2 linked regions of the Macaca fascicularis genome follow. The protein of the gene in region 1 binds, or shares a complex with, the protein of each later gene. Links are inferred from orthologs where the notes say so. Each region holds a gene or a part of one and is shown on either strand. Other genes may lie near its edges.

Region 1 (3,610 bases):
AGTATGGAAATGGCCTCTGCTATGGCACAGGAGAGGAAGGGAAGAAAAAGCATGGAAGGGAGGTGTAATATTTTTCAAGACGGTTTGTTGATATTGGAGAACTTTATTCATCATGACACTACTTGCCTATTGGTTAAGTCATTCAGCAAAATGACATAGATCAGCTGGATCCATGTCATTTTATCTGGAAACATATTGTTCTGTGATTTTTTTTTTATTTCCTAGGTGTACGTCTTCTCCACTAGAGTGGAAATTTTATGAGGATCAGAGGCTAAAACATACTACAGTGCAAGACTCCCAAGTACTCTCTATTAAGAATTCATTGATTTTTTTTTTTTTTTGAGACGGAGTCTTGCTCTGTTGCCCAGGCTGGAGTGCAGTGGCACAATCTCAGCTTACTGTAACCTCCACCTCCTGGGTTCAAGTGATTCTCCTGCCTCAGTCTCCCAAGTAGCTGGGACTACAGGCTTGTGCCGCCACACCTGGCCAATTTTTTGTATTTTTAGTAGAGACGGGATTTCACTGTATTGGCCAGGATGGTCTTGATCTCCTGACCTCATGATACGCCCACCTTGGCCTCCCAAAGTGCTGGGATTACAGGCGTGCGCCATCGCGCCCGGCCTTATTGAATTTTTGATGGGTTAATAGACTACATATATACTAGTGACAATACAACATAATGATTAAGAACATGGGACTTAAAGTCAATAGAGCTGTCAATGACCAGCTGGGCGACTTTGGGCAAGTTAACTCCACCCCTACAAGTCACACTGTCATCTGTAAAAGAGGCGACAGTAATAAGACTTACTGCATAAATTATAGTGAGAATTAAATAAATGAATGCTTGTAAGAACCTAGCAGCATGCCTGCCGATACATAACATGCCCTCAATAAAAGTTTTCAAAACTGCAACATACTGAAATTTCAAGTTGAATAAAGTACAAAAGCTAAATGTTGATATGTGTACATTTAAAGAAGGGAAGTTTGGTTGTTTCTCAAAAATAAAGTGAGATATTGAAAGAAAAATTTTAAAAAGTGATCCAAAATGTATTTTTAAAACAAATTTTTAATTGCTCCCACATGCCATGTACAATGTAGTAATAGCTCAGACAAGAAAAAGATATAGATGCAGTGTGATTTGCTATCAAAATAAATTACAAACAAAATCAATTGCAGACAGAAGCTCAATAACTGAGGAAACCTTTCTATAGGACATGGTTTACAAAGAAGAAAGAGTGAAGACCTGAGGTCTGGCTGGTCACAAAGAGGACATTCAAAAGAAGGGATGTGTGAAATATTCTTTTTTGAGAAATTTTCCTTGTTCCTAGAAACATGTGTAATTGTTATAAATGCATTATTTTATCAATGTCCAGCCAACTAATTTTCCAGCAAGTACTTGTTCTTAGAACTTTTATCTTCCCACATATTTTTTTAGATCCTAATTGCCCCTATGCACAGGCAAAATAAATGCAATGATAGAAGTACATTAAAGTAAGAAATAAGAGAATACTAGTTCCTAAAAGGAAACTGATACACACTAAATGATCTTCATTATATTTAGGGTGATATATACGAGAGAAAGCTACCACCAAGCAATTGAAACTTTTTTCTACCCAAAAGTAGCAGAAAAAACATGAACAATCACAGAGAAAATACCATACATTAATTTAGTGGAAAACTTGATGCCAAGAGAAGGTAATAAACTACTCCGTTGACACTTGCCTTTTCATGTCTTTCGTATTTACAGGAGCCGATTCATGGAGCCTAAAACTTTAAGTTACACCTTAACTCTGAATTTTCAGCCTTTGAGTTCAAGCATAGGAATATCAGCCAAGCCATTGGACCAGCCCATGAAAGTTAGCCACAAATGTCCATTCAGAGAACATCCTCAGTTTCCCCTTGGCATCCTTTAGTGTCTGGGTTAAATTCCATAGGCCTGGAAGACTTCTCCATTAGAAGATCATCTCCCTGCCTCCCACTACCTTCCTTGGTCTCCTCATGGAAAGAGTGTGGCAGGCAGTCCAGCTCTGAGTTACTCCAGACGTAGCCGGGTAAGGTGATGTGGCTGTCAGGCTGTCTGCTGGCAATCTTGGCAGCTTTGCCGGAGATAAGCACCATGCGTGTGCTGGCCGCCACCTGTGACTGGCTGCTGGTGCTGTGCGTCACGGTGGTGAGCACTGAGCCGCATCTGCGGCTGCCACATGGCGGGGTCCTTTTCCAGTCCACAGAGAGATTCCACCGACTCCACATCTTCTTCACCTCTGCCTGAACCTAAGCCACAAGAAACAGGTTGTGCATGAGAAATCCTAAAGGAGACCCTGCAGCCTTGTTACAAGGAGGTTTGCCTTGATTTCAATGACAGCAATAATCATTGATTGAGGTACCTCTACCTGCCAGGGACTTCATCTATGTATTTTCTCTCAACCGCAAAAAATACCTTTGAGATAGGTGTTAGTTTTGGAAGTGAGCAAATTGAAGCTTAGAGAGAGGTAAAGGGACCTGTCCAAGATCAGAATTTAAATAGAAGTTTAAATGCAGCCAATAGAAATATCTGACATACGGGAGAGAAAAAAAAAAGAGATTCTGGGTTGGAAGAGAAACTCAAGATAAACAGTGCCAGTGAGAACTTCAGAACTCCTGCTTGGCACATGACAAGCCCATTGGAACCCCTGCACTGACACTCGCCCAAACTCAAGCACAGCTTCTAGCAGCACAGCGTGGCTTCCCTAGGATGATCTCAGCCATTGATAGTCCTGCCTGAGAAAGCTCAGTGCTGCCAGGAGAATTTACTATTTGCTGTAGCTAGCACACACCTGATGATAGGCCCATGACTCCCCTTTCTTAGGACATTTACTAAAAAGGCTCACAGTTGTAAGTATGCAGCTCTTGTAATTCAGAAGCATCTCTCTCAAAGACCTGAGAGCCATCCCTTCAAAATATAATCATCAAGAGGGATAAGGCCTCTTGTCTCCCAGTCTCTGTGGAAGATAGAATTCTAACTTAACTGCCTGCTTGGTAGCACAGCTGGCCTAAACATGTTGATACTGACCAAACATTTTTTCACTTCTCTGACTCTACTGAGCCCTTACACTCCACCTCCCTCATTCTCCCTTTAAAATGCCCAAATCACCTCTGTGTGAATTGGAATTGGGCTCAGCTCTTTCCCCTACTGTCAGCAGTTACTGAATAAAATCCGTTTTTACCACTTAAATTGCTGATGTCTTTGGCACCAGCTGAGGCTGAGCAATGGCATAGAAGGTACTCAATTTGAGATGTAACTGTCATGCTATCAGTCTGCATCGGCAGCCTGAAGGACTCAGAGTGAGAAAAGAAGGTTCGTGGATAGAAAAGCAGGCACTGCAAATGCGTTCTTAAAAGGGTGGGGCTCTTATTTCCATTCCTACTACTGAAGATTCATTTCTACTTCAATTGCCACTTTTCAGAAAGGAGCTTATTTGGAATTTCCATGGGAAGCAGTGGAAACCTGGTATGCTGATGTCACCTGAAACAACAAACTTCTATCTGTTCATCTTGGCAAAAAAACTCAACACCTGACTGACAGAGCAGAAGCGCCGTCATCTTGGACAAACGCCACCACTTTAAGTTCCAG
Region 2 (3,851 bases), on another chromosome or scaffold:
GAAACTGGAATGATCTACTGGAGATGTGGCCCAGTCAAACTATCTTTTTGAAACCAGTGGTCCTGGTCCTCTACCCTCTCCTACCTGGAAACCCAGGGGTCTAGTTCTCTGGTACCTTCCTATTTCAAGTCCCCTAAGTTGTACCCCACAGCTCCCTCCCCCTAGACTCAGAACTCCAGTCCTCTACCTCCTTCCTTCCTCAGATCCAGGAATCCAAGTCCCTAGCCTCATCCTCTCCCAGAACATAGGAATCTGGGTCCCTGTCCCATCCACTCTTAGACTCAGGAGCCCAAGCTTCTGCTACCACCTTCCTAGGAAACTAGGAGCCCAAGTTCCCACAACCCAAATTGCTACTGCTCTGTAGGACTTCCAAGTTTTGCCCATCTTCTCCTCACTTGCTCCTCTTTTTAAAATTATTATTTTTTGAGGCAGAGTCTCTCTCTGTTGCCCAGGTTGGAGTGCAGTGGTGCAATCTCAGCTCACTGCAACCTCCAACTCCCGGGTTCAAGCGATTTTCCTGCCTCAGCCTCCCAAGTAGCTGGGATTACACCACACCTAATTTATGTATTTTTGTAGAGAAGGAGTTTCGCCACGTTGGCCAGGCTGGTCTTGAACTCCTGATCTCAAGTGATCCACCCACCTCGGCCTTCCAAAGTGCTGGGATTACAGGTGTGAGCCACTGCACCCGGCTGAGGCCCCTCTTAAGAGTCAGCGTGGGCTGGGCGCGCTGGCTTATGCCTGTAATCCCAACACTCTGGGAGGCCAAGGCGGGCGGATCACGAGGTCAGGAGCTCAAGACCAGCCTGGCCAACAGTTTGGCGAAACCCCCGTCTCTACTAAAAATACAAAAATTAGTCACAAGTGATGGTGGACACCTGTAATCCCAGCTACTAGGGAGGCTGAGGCAGAATGGCTTGAACCTGGGAGGTGGAGGTTGCAGTTAGCCGACATGGTGCCATTGCACTCCAGCCTGGGCAACAAGAGCAAGACTCCGTCTCAAACAAACAAACACAAAAAAAGAGTCAGTGTGAGGAGGACTGGGCTTTAATCTTAACAGCACCCCCAAACTCCTCCCAGATAAGGATTTAGACACATCCTCAGGGCAGCTCAGGAGCCCTATCTGTTTTCCCCTCTTCACTCTCTCTCTGAGGCTTTTCTGATGTTGTCTGTTACTTTTCCTGTCCTCACACCCCTGCCACACGTACCCTTTGCCATTTCTTGCCTTTTCCCCCCTCACCATCTCACCCTCGGTCTTTCTGGGCCTCTCCCTGCTGGATTTATCTCTGGGCAGCTCCGTCCAGGCCAGGATGTCCTTCCATTGCCGTCTGTCTTTCTGAGAGCCTTTTCTTTCTCTCCTCCATCTCCGTCTGACTGTTCGTTTCCATCTCCTTTGCTCTCTTTTCTTGTTTTCTTCCTTTTCCTTTCTTTTTCCGTCGTTCCCTTTCTTTCTATTTCTTCCTCGGCCACTCTGTCTTTGTCCTTCTCTTTGTGTCTCTGTTCCTCTGACGGTCCTTCCGCCAGTCTCTATTTTTAGCCCTCCGACACACCCCCTGTGTCCACCTCTCTGTCTGTCTGTCTCTCCCCCTCCCTCGTCTCAGGTCCAGCTTCTGGTCCCAATTAGTTGGTGGCGGCCAAGGCAGCGGCAGGTCCCCCACCCCCGGCTCCTCATTACCGCTGGCGGCTCCTAATGAGCCTGGGGAGGGGGTGACCCCGCGCCCCCGGCCCCCCGGCCTGCGTCACTGCCCGGTGCGGGGGCTGCGGAGGCGATATAAGGGGGCTGCCAGCATCGCTGCCCGAGACCACTGCGCGGTAGGGGACCGTGCGGGAAGCTGGGGGTGGGTGCATGGTAGGGCCGGGGTTTCTGGGCCGGGATGCAGCCCCACTGAGCCCCTTTCTGGTTCACAGGTGATGGAGACCCGCCAGGTGTCCAGGAGCCCTCGGGTTCGGCTGCTGCTGCTGCTGTTGCTAGTGGTGCCCTGGGGCGTCCGCACTGCCTCGGGAGTCGCCCTGCCCCCGGTCGGGGTCCTCAGGTAGGTGCCAGGGCCAGAACTCCCAGGGAGGGGTGGGGACCTGGAGAAGTGGGAAGAGAACCAAAGAGAAAGGGGACAGAAGACCCAGAAAGAGGGACAGAAGCCCAAAGAGAGGGCGACCGAGACCCAGCGAGAAGACGGAGACTAGGGGTGGTGGAAGGCGGGAGGAGGGTTTGGTGGTGGTGGTGGTGCGGGAACGGACAGAGAATCAGCAAGGGAAAGACACACAGAAAGATAGATGCCGAGAAAGGCATGGAGAAGGCTGGAAAGGAGCCGATGCAGAAATGGATTCGTTCTTTGAGCAACGTTTAGTGGGTTCTTGGTGTGCGCCTGGCCATGTGCTGAGCGCTGTGGGCGGACAAGTGCATCAGACTCGGTCTCAGTACCTGGGGAGTTTCGAACCTGGTGAGCAGAGAGACAGAGACCCACACAGAGAACGAGACAGAGGGAGCCGGACCGACCCACTCCACCGACGGGGCAGTAATAGGGCTTCAAGTTAGACCGCGGGGAGGACAGGCGGCGGCGAGCGCGGATCTGGACGCGCGGTCACCGAGTCTCTCCACAGCCTCCGCCCCCCAGGACCGGCCTGGGCGGATCCCGCCACCCCCCGGCCGCGGAGGAGCCTGGCGCTGGCGGACGACGCGGCCTTCCGGGAGCGCGCGCGGTTGCTGGCCGCCCTCGAGCGCCGCCACTGGCTGAACTCGTACATGCACAAGCTGTTGGTGTTGGACGCGCGCTGAGCGCGCCGCCTGTCCCCATCTTAATAAAGACCCTGCCGTGCGCTCCGGACTGCGCCTCGTTCCTGTGCGACCTGCGTGTGCGTCGGGTTGGGGGCGCAGGGCTGGAAAGGTTGGGGTAGAAAAGAGACAGAACTCTGCGTCGGCCACTCTGGCATCTCTCCCTTCAGTTCCCACTCTATTTTCTTTCCTCAATTCCGTTTCTCTGCCTCTGTCTTTGTCCAGGAAGCTAGCTTCTTGCCTATTTCTGGATCTCTGCTTCCCTACCGCCCCCCACCTCCGCTCTGTCCCCTCCTTTCATTCTGGGTCCCTGTCCCTCCCTACCCCCGTCTCTGTCCCCTTCTCTGTTTCTCTGTAATCTCCAAGGTCTCTGTCCTCCTCTGTCTCTGCCCCCTTCTCTGGGTCTCTTTCCTCTCTGGGTCTCTTTCCTCTCTGGGTATGTGTCCCCGTCTCCCTGAGTCCTTGCGGGTATCTCCCCTTTTACCCTCTTGGCTTTCTGGTCTTCTGAGAATCTCTGCCTCCTCTCTCTATTCTCCTTCTGCCTCTGAAACTCTTCCTTTCCTTCTCCCTCACTTTCTTTTTTCCTTTTTCCTCTGCCTGACTCCTTCATATCTTCCTTTTTTTCCTCCGTTAGGTTTCTATCTGTCTCTCCACCAGCTCTCACCTTTGCATTTCGCTGTTCCTCCCTCCCATCACTTCCAGACTTCTCCCCAGGCACAGTGGAAAGATCGTGGGCCCTGGTGTGAGGCAGCCCTAGCATCCAAACCCAGGGTCCTCCAAATCTAGCTGCGTAGTATTGAGAAAGCCTTCTTGACGTCAGTCTCCGTGCCTCCTTTTCTTCATCTGCTACGAGGATCCAATAAGCTATCCTTCATAAGACTTCAGCACAGCGCCTGTCACGTAGCAAAATGCTTTTTTTATTTTTTTTGAAAAGGGTTTCCTCCTCTCACAGCAGCCTCCAGCGATTTTTTTTTCAGGGTTTTCCGACTTCAGGTCTCCTTCTCGGGAGACCACCGGGGCACCAGGCTGGGGCAGGAGAAGAGGAGAGAGGAGCAGGCGTCAGGCTCCAAAAAGGACAGGGAAA

Evidence for each region.
Region 2: the proteins of PTH2R (region 1) and PTH2 are in contact, whole or in part, in a cryo-EM structure (PDB 7F16), measured with the Homo sapiens proteins. The link is inferred for Macaca fascicularis from reciprocal best matches to the Homo sapiens genes PTH2R and PTH2. Residues at the interface, in NP_005039.1 of Homo sapiens: Thr31, Ile32, Ile34, Gln37, Ile38, Asp68, Gly69, Leu70, Ile90, Tyr91, Asp92, Phe93, Met112, Lys117, Ala120, Tyr122, Leu126, Gln130, Pro131, Ser134, Lys137, Gln138, Phe141, Glu142, Tyr152, Arg190, Ile194, Lys197, Val201, Ile205; in NP_848544.1 of Homo sapiens: Ser62, Leu63, Ala64, Leu65, Ala66, Asp67, Asp68, Ala69, Ala70, Phe71, Arg72, Glu73, Arg74, Ala75, Arg76, Leu77, Ala79, Ala80, Leu81, Glu82, Arg83, Arg84, Trp86, Leu87, Tyr90, Met91, Lys93, Leu94, Leu95.

What each region holds. Positions count from the first base shown.
Region 1 is NC_088386.1:104,433,119-104,436,728, reverse strand, and holds the end of PTH2R (parathyroid hormone 2 receptor), read right to left. Parts: intron 2,272-3,610; coding exon 1,876-2,271; 3' UTR 1,051-1,875; downstream 1-1,050. UniProt on the Homo sapiens protein: This is a specific receptor for parathyroid hormone. The activity of this receptor is mediated by G proteins which activate adenylyl cyclase. PTH2R may be responsible for PTH effects in a number of physiological systems.
Region 2 is NC_088393.1:57,370,684-57,374,534, reverse strand, and holds PTH2 (tuberoinfundibular peptide of 39 residues), read left to right. Parts: upstream 1-1,619; 5' UTR 1,620-1,809; exon of another isoform or gene 1,810-1,905; 5' UTR 1,906-1,908; coding exon 1,909-2,030; exon of another isoform or gene 2,031-2,595; coding exon 2,596-2,770; 3' UTR 2,771-2,811; downstream 2,812-3,851. UniProt on the Homo sapiens protein: Plays a role as a potent and selective agonist of PTH2R resulting in adenyl cyclase activation and intracellular calcium levels elevation. Induces protein kinase C beta activation, recruitment of beta-arrestin and PTH2R internalization.